Linked DNA regions of Pelodiscus sinensis. The protein of the gene in region 1 interacts with the protein of each later gene in a biochemical or structural test. Links are inferred from orthologs where the notes say so. Each region holds a gene or a part of one and is shown on either strand. Other genes may lie near its edges.

The links.
Region 2: of the proteins of DCAF1 (region 1) and UNG, one has a biochemical effect on the other in vitro, tested with the Homo sapiens proteins (2 studies listed by BioGRID, with this or other methods). The link is inferred for Pelodiscus sinensis from reciprocal best matches to the Homo sapiens genes DCAF1 and UNG.

Annotation. Positions count from the first base shown.
Region 1 is NC_134721.1:43,464,569-43,471,659, reverse strand, and holds the start of DCAF1 (DDB1- and CUL4-associated factor 1), read left to right. Parts: upstream 1-4,006; 5' UTR 4,007-6,176; intron 6,177-7,091. UniProt on the Homo sapiens protein: Acts both as a substrate recognition component of E3 ubiquitin-protein ligase complexes and as an atypical serine/threonine-protein kinase, playing key roles in various processes such as cell cycle, telomerase regulation and histone modification.
Region 2 is NC_134725.1:36,986,599-36,994,555, forward strand, and holds the start of UNG (uracil-DNA glycosylase), read left to right. Parts: upstream 1-4,697; 5' UTR 4,698-4,900; coding exon 4,901-4,990; intron 4,991-5,565; coding exon 5,566-5,775; intron 5,776-5,884; coding exon 5,885-5,980; intron 5,981-6,453; coding exon 6,454-6,551; intron 6,552-7,366; coding exon 7,367-7,455; intron 7,456-7,957. Other genes in the region: DNA oxidative demethylase ALKBH2, read right to left, coding at 797-1,067. UniProt on the Homo sapiens protein: Uracil-DNA glycosylase that hydrolyzes the N-glycosidic bond between uracil and deoxyribose in single- and double-stranded DNA (ssDNA and dsDNA) to release a free uracil residue and form an abasic (apurinic/apyrimidinic; AP) site.

The DNA.
Region 1 (7,091 bases):
AGGGCTAGGGTTCAGGGTTGGTTATGGGGTCTAGGGGGAGATAGGGCTGGCTGTGCTGAGCCACCTGATTTCACATCCTCAGGCCCTGTACCCAGAATCCCTTGTTGCACCCTATCTTGCACTCCCCTGCAAGCTCCGCCCCCGCACACAGCTCCCATTGGCAATGGGAGCTGCGGGGCAGAACCCACTGACAGAGGCAGCACAGGGATGTGGTGTCCCCTTGGCGCTCACTGCTATGTGGCTCCAGCCCATTGGAGGGCAGGGAGGAGGGAAGGACAGCAGGCAGGAGAATCTGGGGCCTTGAACTGCTCCCGTTCCTAGGTCTGTCGCCTCTGCCTGGTGTCTGTCCCCTCCTCCCCCCCGTCTTCTACTGCTGTTTGTTTTGTACAGCTGTCCCTGTTAACGTACCAAAGGACTGGTTGGCATGTTTCTTACTGAGAAGGTTCAGTTAGTTTCCTTCTTGCTCCTCACACTAAAATGGCATGATCCTGGTGAACCTGCTTGTGATTGGACTGGTCACACCCGTCATTCAGATAGTCAGCTGGTGTGCAGGAATTGTCCCAGGATTGCTAGTCACTCCAGCATGTAAGGAATTTGGAGCAGGCTCTGTGTCGCCTACAATGTGTACAGCTGTATTTAGGCAGGTGCAGGGTATCCCTACCCACTGCTGCCCAAACCCAGGGCCCTTTCCAGACACCTCGGTCCAATCGAAAGCATACAAAGGCAGGTTAAATACACTGAGGACAAACTGGCTGGCTTCACAGGCTTCTGGTGGCCTGAATCTGGTCCATTAAGCAATGTCCGAAACTCAGTGCCTGAAAACTAAGTACTGTGCATGGGAAATTGGTATAGAGGGAGGGCCGACACTCCCTGTAAACCCCCTTTGGGATGGGAGGGACTGGCGGAGGAGTATCCCTGACAGATAGTGACTGCTCTGCTATTGCCAGTTTCCAACAATACTTAGGTGGTTCTCCACTGTGGCTGCTCCAGAAGCGGGTGGCAGGTCGAGCTAGACAGCGCCAGAGTGGGGCTGAGTGTTTCCATTGCAGTGTACACGCAACACGGCAACCAGGAGTATCCGGCATGCATAAGAACGGGGAAAGGGTCTCAGGGCTGCACCATTGGCTGGACTGGGGTAGAGGCAGAGTGACTGCTGCTAGGTCATTCAAAGAAAAGCCTCTGGCTTTCCCAAGAGCAATGCCTCCTATTTCCTAACAAAGAGGCAGATTTGTTCAGTCCGTCTATAGCACCAAAAACTGCTAAATTACTGTAGATCCTTTAGGTTGCAAGATAGGATCAGAGTTTAGTCTCTATAGCTCAGCTCCTGCTCTTGTATCCTTCCATAAAGCATCAGCAGTTAAAGACATGAGTGCTCTACTCTGTGGTAGAGTGGGGGGACAGGTCCAAGTGCTAATAGGAGACTGAACTTCTCGCTGGTTCCTCTCACTGGACGTGGGGTTACACTGCAGGGGTCAGTATCCACCGATTCAGTAACTATCGCTACAGCCTCCCTTAACACAAATCGATAATTAACAAAAACACCCCCCCACAACACAACACAACACTGTCTACATGCTCCTGCAGTCAGTTAATAAAGCCCTATGGAAGGGCAGACTCACCTCGAAAGCACTTTCTCCTAGCCAGGCATGCCATAGCAGGCTGTCCTTCCCAGTGCCACCTGCTGACAGTCACTCCAGTCCAGACCTACCGCAGTTCAGGTCTCCTTGTAAGCCCTGGCCCAGTCATGTTTATTCCTGCCTTTTCTCTGGTACATCACACCCAAACCCACATGACAATGCCTAGTCCCGTCACCCTCTCTGCTCAGGCGTGAAGATAGACAGGCCTTCCCGGAGGGGCTTCACATTTGACCATTCAAACAAACTCCCACCCCTTTACCAAGTGGGCAGGCTCCCCCCCCCCCACAAGAACCCTTTCTCTCCTGCCGTTTTCAGACTCCCTCATCCACAGCTCCATTTTTAACCCTCATTTGGGTCCCCTGCAGTGAAAATCACCATCTTCTGGAAGCTTCACCTTTTAACTGCCCATTACAAGGATTGTTTCCATATTGCCAGTGGCCTTCCCTGACACCCTCAGCTTCCTAGATTTCCTGTGCAAATCCTGTATCTTCCTTCCCCCAGATATCATGCTGGGATTCTCAGAAGCTCTCCCCTATTTCTATTTCACAGCAGAGTCTCTAGATCTCCCAGGCACTATTCAACTTTCCACCACCCCTCAGCTGGTTTTCTTCCCAGATTTCTCTTCCAGGGCCTTGTGCTTCTTCCTTTATGCAGGCCCAGCTTTTCCCCAGCTGGGACTGATCTCCAGTTAGCCTGCCACCCTCTGCAGGCATCTGCAGCTGGTCTAAGTGGGCTCAGGTTCCTGTTAACCCCTGCTTAATCAACGTGGGGATTTATACACCTCGTCACAGAGCACAAATGGAGATGTGGAGGGTGGAGTTTAGGGTGAGGTTTCCACCTTCACAAGGGATTATCACACACCTGCATAAAGTCTCTCTGCAGCTGGGTGGCTTTCTGAAGACATGATCCGTTCTTGTTCTTAAAACAGGCCCTTTTGGATGGCTTGCTCAGGCCCGAAGGCGGAACCTGTGTTTGCCGCTGTTAATGTTTGTGAGTTGCGAGAAAGGTATTTGTCAGAACACGAGCATTGCCAATAATATTCTGGATGTTCTTTGGAAACAGAGCCAGAGTCAGCATCCTTGTGGGGTCCCTTTAGATCGGGGTCACAATGCAATTTACCTTAGGGTCAGTGCCCATCCCCAAATCCTCCTTGTGGGCCAGCGGGAACCCCGCTCTGACAGAGCTCCCCTATCTCAGCGGGGCTGGAACGGCTTCCGGCTGCCAGCTCTGTGCCACTGCCGGCATGTCCCTGCGGCCTGGGGGACACGTGTGCAGAGCTAACCTGTGTGCTTTGGGGGGTCCCGTGCCAGTTGCCCCAACCATTCTATGGACAGGAGGGTCCTCCCTTTTCAGCTTAGCCTGCGCATCCTTGGGCAGGCTGGGGCAGGAAACAGAGTCACCCCCCCACACTCACCGCGTCACCGGCAGTCTCAGGGAAGCGGAGCTACACAGCAGCCTGCTCCACTCCACTGTCATCTCCCAAGCAGCCCACACTGGAGCAGGGAGTAGCAGAGCGATTGGGCTGGCCTGGGAGATGAGGGTGGAGCAGAGGCTGCTGAGTTGCTCTGCTTCCCTGTGGCTCCCACCACCACAGCGAGTGTGGGGAGGCCTGACACCTACTACTGCCCTGTGCCAGGCCCCTCAAGGATGGGGTGCAGTGGGGGGGGGGGGAGGTGGAGCAGGGCTGGGAAGAGGCAGGATGGGAGCAGAGCAAAGGCTGGATTTGGGGGAAGGGTACAGATACCCCTCCCTCCTCCAAGGCCACAGGGACTCAGCGTGCCAGCAGCCATGCAAGGGCTGGATTGTGGAACTGCTTGGGCCACAGATGCCTCCTGGGCCGTGAGTCTGAGACCCTTGATTTAGCTGCTCCTCCTTTTCCATGAGTCTTTGGAACTTTTCAATGCTGGAACTGCTGGTCCTAATGAAGTGTGCTGCGGCGTGCTTGGGGAAGTGTATCCATGCCAGACATGGATCTTATGCATCCATCCCACTGGCTCTTTTATCTCTGCCTCTTACTTGCATTGACTTTTTTCTGCTCTCACATCTGACTGTGCATAGTCAGGACAGACAAGGTGTGTTTTGAACTGATCTAGCAAAAGAATTAATTCAAATAGTTCCGCACCAGCCTCTTACCACCTATGAACAGCAATTTCATGGCATTTCACCAGTTCTTGCATTCTCTGTCCTGCAGCAACTGAAGAGTTCAGCCTTGAGTCTGTATTTTTGCTGGGAGCATTCATGCCTAGCCCCAGTAGATCTATGGTAGGGGCCTGTGCACCCAAGGAGGAAGGAAAGGGTTAATGCAGACATTGGGAAACAGGAAGTGCTTCAGCTGAAGTTGATGACAGTGCTTATATCCTCAGAAGGGAGCTGGCTGGCTGGAAGAAAAATAGTCTCCCTGAGAGTTTGGAGGAAGGAGGCTGAGCCGAGACAAGCCAACCAGGGCTGTTTAGAACTATCCACTAGCTATCAAGAGAGAAGCGTTCCTATCAGAAGCTGGGTAAAGTAAGCTGGCTGTGGAGCTGTGTTACTATGTGAGCTTGGCCTGAAGCAATAGCAAAGGAAACTTTTGTAACAACTGGACCTGGCTTCACTTAGGAGGGGCTAATTCAGACTCTTAAAGGACTAGTATTGCTGGAATGAACAACTGTGCTATCAGAGCTCTCGCTGCTGGTCCAAGAAGTGGAGCTGCCTGGTTGTGAATCCCTGTAAAGTGTTGCCCTAAAGGTGAAATGTAAGACCCAGTATACACTCCCTGGCCAGGAAACAAACTGGTGCCCGAGAAAGACAAGGATTGATGTGACCCACAGGAATGGATACAAGCTGCCATTTTGCAGCAGAAGTTGCTGGTTCAACAGAACCAGCAGGAGCCGCAGCTGCTGGCGATAGCTAGTCCTGTTGATGAATCCGGTCGTCTTATTCAACCCAAATGCATCAAGCCGGGTGGTCTCCATGGCACCAGGCCTTTTGTTAATTAAGATGTGACCAGTCGATGACCCAGAAGCCTTCCTAGAGGTTTGTGAACGAGTGGCCATAGGTACTTGTAGGACCTCCAGTCTGAAGGTTTCTGCTCTGCATCAGCCCTGTCTGAACCTCAAGCTAGGGGCATGTGAAACTGGACTCGCAGCAAGTGAGAGCTGTCGTTCTCCTTCCATTCAGCCTCTTCTGTTTTGGGGGACATGTCTCCGGTTGACTCTTCTATTCCAACATTTGCCTTCTCTATTGCAATAAGGGAAGAGCAAGGTGGTTGCAACCCTGGATGTGCATATTTACGACACATACAGATCCACGTTCTTCTGCGGGTTGAAATGCTATGATTTAGCAATCTCAGAGACTTCAGTTCCAGGAGGAGAGCGACCCGACTGGGAGAAGGCCCAAAGTCATCGTTATGGTCTGGCGAGAAATAGTTAACGCTCGATTCAGTCTGCCCCTCCAGTGGGACCGATAGTTTTGGAGCAATCAATGCACCTGTTGCCTCTTGGAGCGGAAGAATGGGTGTGCTCGCATCAGGCTGAGACTGAACCATAACATTTCTCTGAAGCAGAGCTGGCAGTGGAGCAGTGGTAGCTCAGTTTAGCTATAATCTGGGCCTGCTCTAGCCTGAGGTAAAACTGAAGGGACAAGTTACAGAGAGAGAGAAAACCCCTCCACTCTGTCTCCAAAGGACTTAAAATGTTCCAGTAGCTTTCAGCTTAGTCCCTTGCTATGCAGTGAGGAAACCTAAGCAGGGTTGGAAGCAATCTTACCCTGTTGGCAACTCTGAGAGGATGAAGCACTGGAGAATTTGCATTTCCACTGCTGGAAAGAGAGGTGCCCCCTGCTACAGAAGATGCCCGCCAGTGGAATGGAAGCATCACTTTGCGAGATGGATCACAGGACAGGTCGGGATGGGAATCTCTCCTTTTCTTTCTCCCAACTGGATTCTCGTGCAAGCTAAAGAATCTAAGCACTGTTGGATTCTGCCTGCAGCTAGACTGTCATGAAAAGGACTTAATCCCATTGGCCCTAACCCCCTCAAGAATTGAATCCCACCTATGGGACACTTGAGGGAAGGTGGAAAAACCATCCCTTTTTGAAAGTCTGTCAATATGGCACCTATAGCCCAGGATAGGAAAATGACATATCTTGTTCATCCTCAAGGACTACTGCTGGAGGTGGCCGAGGATCCAGAGGAAATGGAAGACTGCTCTCATAAAACCTTCCTGACATCACGTCCCCTTACAAGATGAAGAGTCCTTCCCAGCAGAGGTTTGGCCCTACAAAACTAGAGAAGGTGGTCGGAAGGGAGGTGCACTTGCGTAGAGAAAACGGGGAGTTGTGTGACTAAACAGAAGAACAGTGGGAACTAAGATGGGACTGGACTACAGGGAACGAGTCACTTGAGCATTGCTCTGTTCTGCTCATTCTCTCTGAAGCATCTGGCACTGTCAGAAGACCGGATCCTAGATGGACCCCGTATGGCCGTTCTTATATCCTTAACAAACCCGCAGAGGAAGAATGAATGTCCATGCTTCACATCCGTGAAAGTGAAGTGCAGAGGTAAACTCAGTCTGGGAAGGTTGGTGGGTTTATCCAATAGTATTCTAGAACAGAGGGAAGAGGATTCCTTCTGCCCCCTTTGAGTTGCACATAGCTGTTACAGAAACAGTCTGATTTTGCTTTCTACATTTTGTGCTAAGAACAGCCTATTATACAGGATGATGAAGGGAACATCCAGGGCCCAGGAGAACTTAATCTACCTTGTAAACATAGTACCTTGAATTAGCAGTCTCCTCCAAGGAGAAGAGACAACCGAGGTGGAAGAATACCTCTTCCCAGAGCGAAAGAAACTGGATCTAGACTTGATAGCTCAATTTTGTTATGCCCTGTTTGATCCAGTTGACACAGACCAAGTTGGTCTGACATGGATCCAGAACTAAGTGGTGTGACAATGGCCACACACCAGTACTGGCTTTGATGGGTGCAGCAGTGAAAAATAATTAGAAGATGAATGTGGGTTTAACTGAGGAATTGCATAGTAAAGCCCCCCCCCCAATTGTCCGGGTCTAGAAGCAAAATCGCATGAATCCACTTACCATTTGCTCTTAGATATATGCACTTCCTAAGAGGATATATACATGCCTACTCCATGCCATGAATGGACATGTGATGAAAAGATGCTGGCAAATCCTGCACACTAAGTTGTTACAGCAGCCCGACTCTGTCCCCTACTCTAAGCCCTAGCTCATGTTCCCTCCCTGAGATTAAATAAACTTGTCCAAGTAATTTGTGCAAGGACAGAGCCAGAACTGGAGCAGGTCAGTCTCCCTTTTTGCTCTGTGCCTGGTGAAAAGCTGCCCTGTGGCCTAAGCAAACTGCTTTGAATGCTAGAAAGAAGCTGGAGCTGGGAAGAGAGATTGACCAGTATTCATCAATATTGCACTTCATGGTCGTGGAGCAAAACAAGAAGGGAAA
Region 2 (7,957 bases), on another chromosome or scaffold:
CTGCTTTTGAAATGTACAAGAGCTCCCCTTGCTTCTGCCTTTGAAATGTAGCAAGAGTGGGACTCTTGTAGGTTTCCAAAGCAGAGAGCATGGGGTCAGCTTGAGTCCCTCGCTGGCCCCTTGCTCCCCACACACTACATTTCAAAGGCGGAAACACCACCAGTTCCCCAATGAGATTTTTTTCCCCCACTGGCTTTTAAGCCAGCTCCCTCCAGCACCAGCTCCTGCTCCCCCACCCTTGCTGCCTCTATCAGAGAGAGGCAGCGAGGCGGGAGGGAAGCAACTAGTTGCTTATATCCCTAGTAATCGACAGGACTAACTGATAAACCCAGGCTGATCAGTTAATTGTGTAGTAATCTATATGTTCACATCACTATTAGAGACTAACAGATTTTGGTCTCTAATGTGCCACAGGACTCATTATTCTTAGCAGATAGAGACTAATCCAGCTACCCTTCTGAGACTTAAGAATGTGAGTAAGCCCACTGAAGTCATGTGCTTAAAGTTATGCACATGCATATTTGAAGGATCAGAGCCTACCTTTGCTACTTAACTGCTATGGATCTGATGGTACAAACACATCTACCCATTGGGATCTTTACTCCCATTAAAGCCAATGTGAATCCGCTTAGGAGTCAGAGTCTGAGTGTGCAGATTGTATACTATATAGCATTGGACCTTACACATACAAAAATCCTCTCCCATCCCCCCCAATCAATGTTGCTCCTAAGTCATAAGGCAGGATGTGTCATGGCATTAGAGACAGAAGAGACATTAGATCTATTAGTCTGTTTACCTTCAAAATATTCCACTTCCTTTTCCAGCTCCTGGAAAATCCTGTCAGCCTCAGCTTTGCGGAACAAGATCCTGTAATCACAGTTCAGACCCTCTGCCCGGATTTGCTTCCATGGAGAATGCACCAAGGCCTCCTCTGCACCTGGCATTTCTGAGCAGGCCTTCTTCTTTTCTCTCCCATCTCTCACACAATCCAGCTCTCCTCCCTTCATGTCTAAGGGGGCTTGTTCATTCTTGCCTGGAAAAGGCCTTTTGACCACGAACTTATCCATTCCTAGCTGCCCTTAAGAAACAGCCATCAGCCTGCAACTCCAGGATCTGATGGGAGTTCACTGCTGATTTTGGACTGCCTAGAACCACAGTGGCTTGGAAGATTTTAAGTGCTCCTAAGTAATAGGGACTTAAAAATACCTGCATGTGAATCCTGAGATGGGTGTCACTGCACCTCTTTAGGGTGGAGCATGCAGTCACTCCAAGGTCATCCTCAGAGTCTGGGCCAAGCTCCTAGAACCAGGCAGATCCTTGATTAGGACTCCACTGAACATGGCCTGGCTGTCAGCTTGCTAAGGATCTTCAGGCCCCAGAAACAGCTCCTGCAGGCCTCATTTCCAGCAGCAGTAGCTACTTCCTGCTGCAGACACTCAGCCAATCATTCCACCCTTGCTCAGCTCAGTTTTGCTGTGAATCCTAGCAAGGTCCACTGGCACCACCTACTGGATCTTCTTGGAAGCATTTATAAATTATTAGAAACCATTATCTTCCTGATTCCTCCATAATATTTATATGGCATCATACGTGTACACAGCCCTCTTTAACTGGTGAGTGTGCCAGAAAATGTCATTTATTGTGTATGGCACTGAGGACTTCCTACAAAGCCGCCCCTCCTTTAATCTATTAACCAGCCAAAAAATGTTTACTAGTTAACGAATTAAACAGGGTTTTACGTCCCTAGTTCAAACACAGAATAGTAGACTGCCCTGTGCCAAAGACCTTATAATCCAGATAGATCCAGGTAGGGAGAAAACACCAGCATAGTGGATAATGAGATAGTGGCAAATGCAATGGTAGTACCACATTTTTTAAATTTATTTATTTTTGGTGTAAGGATACTTAAAGAAAATCAGTGAAATACAAAAGGGCAGAAGAGGGTAAGAGGCATTGTCACTTTAATCTTTCCATACTTATTTCTCTATTTGTAAGTTAGGGATAATAGCAGCTCATGGGTAGTACAGAACACAATGTTTTGTTATTTTTTTAGGTAGTCTCTCAAGTGAGCCTCATCACTGCTACATCCACTATAAAACTGGTGGGCTGTGTCTATACTGGTGCGATCTTGCACCAGAGCTATGCAAATGAGGCTCAGCGTGGAATATCGCCAAGCCTCATTTGCATAACTAATGAGTCACCATTTTTGCGGAAGAGGCTCTTGCGCAAGACGGAGCTGTCTACACTGCCCCTTCTTGCGCAAGAAAAACCCTCTTGCACGAAGCCGTTATGCTGATTATTTTCAGGCATAACGGCTTTGTGTAAGAGGGTTTTTCTTGCACAACAAGGGGCAGTGTAGACAGCTCCGTTTTGCGCAAGAGCCTCTTCTGCAAAAATGGTGGCTCATTAGTTATGCAAATGAGGCTTGGCGATATTCCACGCTGAGCCTCATTTGCATAGCCCTGGTGCAAGATCGCGCCAGTATAGACACAGCCATACAGTTAGTCAGAGGGGGTCAGGATTTACTGTTACGATGTCCTTATAGGTTTCTGATGCCATGGATGATGATAAACCAGAAGGCTGCTTCCGTGTGTGCTCAATGATGTGTGCCATGTAGACTAGTGCACTTAGTCTGCATGGCAGACCCCAAGAGAGCCCCCAAAGACCACAAATCAGATAAGGATTGAAAGTGCCAGGCCAGGTTTATTGTTAAACAAAATAAAGTGATAGTTGTCCGTAGACTTTACCAAACCACTACGCATATGCGATTCGTAACAATGGAATGACTCAATCAATGGAAAATTTCCACTGCCCCCTAGATCATCCACAGACTGTCCCCCCAAAATACCACTTTATATACAAGTACTAGCAACTTATACATCACTCCTGACGTAACAGGTTGCCACTCTTTGATGCTACTTAGATACCACTCACCATCCTCTACCTCGTGGTTTGATTAGATCTTTATCCATCATGCTGTCACTTTAGAGCTTTTCCTGAACTTGGGTAGGTATCTGTGGGGAGTGTAGGTACCAAGGTCTTTTTAATTAGCTAGTGGTACCACATGCTTTCAACTTTTGACCAGTACCAATTACTGTTTTTCAGTTGATACCTAGCACCAATTACTGGTCTATACGTGGAATCTATTGCCATTTAGCGTTTTGCACTCTCAGTCCTGTTCGTGCCCAAGTTCTGTGAGGAGGGGCCTACCTCCTGCTCACAGCTTAACTTTGTTTTGTTAGCCATGTTTTGTCCATTGTTAGCTAGGTCTCAGGCCTCAAACCAGGACTGTGCTACATAGGCTTTTGTTTTAGGCCTTCATCTTACTACAACTGGTCTCTCTTGTCATTTCCATAATTCTTCATGTATTTTCTCTTTCCTCTATGAGGTTTTCAGCTCCTTCAGTCAGGGTTGACAGAATCAATTACTTAGCATATGTAAAGAGCTCTGAGGAACCTATTACTCAAGAGTTAAGTTATTGCATTTTGCTTGTTAAAGATCCAGTTCTGATCTAACAGAACTCATTTACAATTGAACTGCATGGAAGCTAGAGATGTCAGTCTAAAAACAAGATTAGGGAAGGTTGGGAATGGACAAAAGCTGAATGTAAGAATAGAAGGAAGAGGTGTGCAAGTTCACTCTGTTTTCTTGAGATGACAAACCACACCAGCACAGCCAAAGCTTTCAATGGGTAGAACTTGCATGCCATGTGGATAGGAGAACTGTCCTACTTGAGTAGGAGCAGATTTGGAATTAAAGCTCACATCCCTTGCTGGTGCCACCGCTTGCTTTGTTCAGGCCCAGCTGTTCCAATGAAAGACTTCCTCAAAGACTTCAGATCAAAAAAGGAAGTGGGTCTGGCCCACGAAAGCTCATCATCTAATAAACCATCTTGTTAGTCTTTGAAGTGCTACATAGTCCTGTATTTTGCTTCAGCTACACCAGACTAACAGGGCTACATTTCTATCACATCTCTTCCAGAATAGTAATAGAAATGTAGCCCTGTTAATCTGGTGTAGCTGAAGCAAAAAACAGGACTATGTAGCACTTTAAAAACTAACAAGATGGTTTATTAGATGATGAGCTTTCGTGGGCCAGACCCACTTCCTCAGATCAAATAGTGGAAGAAAACAGTCACAACCATATATACCAAAGGATACAATTAAAAAAAAGTGAACACATATGAAAAGGACAAATCACATTGCAGAACAGGAGGGGGATGGGGGGGGGGAGAGGAAGGTAGGTAAGTGTCTGTGAATTGATGATATTAGAGGTGGGGAAAGTTAGATGTCTGTGAGCTAATGATATTAGAGGTGATAATTGGGGAAGCTATCCTGGTAATGGGTAAGATAGTTTGGGTCTCTTCCAGAGGCTCTTTAACTGCCTCCCTCCCTGGTGCTTCCACCCCCCTGCCTGCAGCCACACATCACCTGCCCCTGTTGGAAACTGGATCACAGTGAAACTGGGGGGGGGGGACCATGAGGAGAATGGGGGAATGAGGGGGCACGGGGGTACTGAAGTGGGGGCAAGGATGGAAGCCTGGGGGGGCAGGGAAGATGGGCTGTGACTGGAACTAAAACAACGCTCTCTCCCCCACGTGCGTGAGTGCTCGCAGGGGCGGGGCACGGCTCCACTGCGCACGCGCCCACGGTCCCCAGGACCCTCTCAAGCACGCGCTACTGCAACGCTCCCCCCTCCCCGCGCATGCGCGCTCGCTTGGCGCCAATTTCGCTCGGTCCTTCAGCCAGGCGGCCGCCGGCCACCATCTCCGCCGGCTCCCGCGCGGGGAAGGGGCCGCCTGTGCCTGGCTGGCAGGACCGTCGCCACCGCCGCTGCCCCTGTGTGGACGGGGCCGCCCCTGCCCAGCCCGCCCGACCCGCGGGGCTCAGCCGCCGGCAGCATGATCGGGCAGAAGACGCTGCACTCGTTCTTCCGCGCGGCGCCGCCGAGGAAGCGGGAGCGCTCCCCGCAGCAGGGCGGGGAGACTGAGGTACCGTGAGGGGCGAGCGCCACCAGAGCGTGTTTAAAGGGCTCCCCCGATCAAAAGCGGCGCCGCTGTGGGGATTGGCCAATAGCAGGGCTCTCCTTGGCCCGCGGGCGGGCCGATACGGGAGGGGGTGGAGCCAGGCTGCTTGGCCCTGTGGTCATTGGCTGGTTTCCATTCTCACTGTCCAATGGGAGGCGGTGTCTGGGCGCTGTTGATCCCGCGGAGAGGTCAGTCGGCGCGTCTTCATAGCCAGGGGCCAATAAGAAGAGCGGTAGCTCTGCTAGTGGCCCATGAGGAGCGGGAGGGCGGGGCTAGGCTGCCATGTTGGGTTTCTCCCTCCCCTTCCGTGACTGAACCTCCAATAGAAAGAGGCGTTCCCGTGCGGCGGGAGAGAAACACGCGCGGTTTTCCCGCGAAGTGGCCATGTGCTTGTCACTAAGCCCCGCCCAGGCTGTCCCCCGCCTCCGCCTCCCAAGCCGCCCTGCCCGGCTCCCCTGACTCTTTCCCCTATGGGCCCGGCCAGGACCCGGTTCCTCCAGGGGCCGGGCCGTAGCCCTCTCCTGTGTCGCCTGCTCCAGGCCAGCTGCGCCAAGAAGCTGAAACCGGAGGGACATGACTCGAAGGCCTCGCCCCGCTCCCCTCCGCTGAGCCCCGAGCAGTTGGAGCGGATCCGCAGGAACAAGGAGGCGGCTTTGCAGAGACTCGCTTCGCGGAGTGTCCCCGCGGGCTTTGGAGAGGGCTGGAGCCGGCAGCTGGCGGGGGAGTTCACCAAGCCCTACTTCTCCCAGGTGAGAGAGCGCGGCTTCCCCCGCGGGGAGCATCGTCCTGTAATTGCTCGGTGCCTGCCCCTTTCACTCGCCTGCACTGACCGTGACCCATCCTGCTTCCCCCTTCTAGCTAATGGCATTTGTTGGCGACGAGCGAAAACGGCACACCATCTACCCACCCCCGCAGCAAGTTTTCACCTGGACGCAGATGTGCGACATCCGAGATGTAAGTTCCCCAGCGGAGACCCCTGCTGGGGGGAGAGATGGGGTTTGCTGTGTTCTGGTGTTTTCAACAAAACCATGAAAGCTGTGTTTGCAGTCTGGCTGGCCAGGTGTTCGACTTTCATGGAAACCCAGTGCTTTAGGATGTGAAATAGTGATAGAAATGTAGCTGTGTTAGGATGTGAACACTGCTTTTTCTCCTGTCGTGTTTTTGTATACTTTTACCTTCTTTTTCTCACCCAGTTCTATGTGTTGATGATCTTCATCCATGATTGCAACATAGCACTCTTGAAAACTTTAGTTGTTTTCTTCTTCTCTTTTCTCTGGCCCTACCCTTTTCTATATTGTTTTCTTTCAGGTGCACTTTGGTTCTGATTTAGAAAGTTTTGCTTTTTTAGCAATACATACAAGTCCATATATTTTAAGATATTATGACATTTTGCTGGGCTCTCAGCACTAATTAGCATCTGTGTTCAGGTAAAGGTTGTCATCTTGGGACAAGATCCTTATCATGGACCCAGTCAAGCTCATGGACTCTGTTTCAGCGTCCAGAGACCTGTTCCACCTCCACCTAGGTATGACTATGCTTTTAGTTATTTAAAACTCTGCCACTGTTTACTGGATAGGTTATTTATAGGAATACATTATTTGTAAGTGACTGTCTTTGAGATACATGTCTTGTGACACTGAAAAAATAATTTTATAACATGACCAAGTACTTCTACTTATTGGGAAGTGGAAAGGTAATCATAAGAATAACTCATATTGAATTTTTAAAGTGTATACTTTCTGGGAAAGTATTACTATTGAAACAAATAAGTAAATTTGGACTTGGACTTCTAAGATGGTGGTGTATTCCAAGGATTTAAGCTCAATCCTACAAAATTGGGTTTCCATATTGAGCCAGTTGTAATGTGAGAGCTTTATATAGGAATGGCCATCAGTTTGGTGGAACAAAAGAGCTTTTCTTGTTTTGGTTTCAGAAAGATCTTTATTTTTTAAACTAGATTGGATTAAATTTGCTTGTTTTCTTATATTGAATAAAGGCACTAGCCTGTGGCCCTGTTTACTCAGGCCTGCATCCTGCAAATCCTTAAGCAGAAGCTTAACTTCACGTAGATGTGTAGGCCATTTACCTTCAGTAAACATTTGCATAAAAGTTAATAGGTCCAGTTAGAGGTAAAGAAAAGGGCCCTGTTGTACATATTAAATACATCAGATGACTATAACTTTCCTAAAGGGGAGTTGAATGAAGTGCCTAGAATGCTAAATCAGTTTTTTAGTTCATGGCAATAGTTTCTACTGAAATACACAAAATCATTAGTTTGTCTTAATTTGATTAGTTTCACAGAAATATATTTAAAATCTTTTCCTTTATTTTTGTTTGTAGTTTGGAAAATATTTACAAAGAGCTGTCTACGGACATAGAAGATTTCACCCATCCCGGTCATGGAGATCTAACTGGGTGGGCCAAGCAAGGTAATTAATCAGTTCAACCTTCCTGGATTCTCGTTTAGGCTGTGTCCCTATTAGCACTCACATTGGCAAAGTTTATGGGGAAAAAAAACCCAATCCTGAGCAGCCTAAGGTTTACCAGTATAAGTGCTCAAGAGCACAGCATTATGTCAGTGAGAGATGCTTTCCTGCCAGTGTGGCTAGCATTGCTCATTGAACTCGTTTTATTGTTTCCATGGGAAAGCTCTGTCCCATCAGCATAACACAGCTAGATAAGCACTCTTATAGTGACACAGCACCGTCAGTACTGCTGTGCCGTTGTAAGCTTTTATAGATGTGGCATTATTGGGCATTTTCCTTCTCAATGGGTGCATTGTGGCAGCAATGTTAACCTAGCTATTGGTACTTTCCAAACTACGCGGCTGAGATTTATTAAAAGGAACCACTAAAAAGACCCCAGCCGTTTAATTTTCATAAAGCAGTTTAGTATTACTGTGTCAATGCGTATAAAAACTGGCCGTGTGGT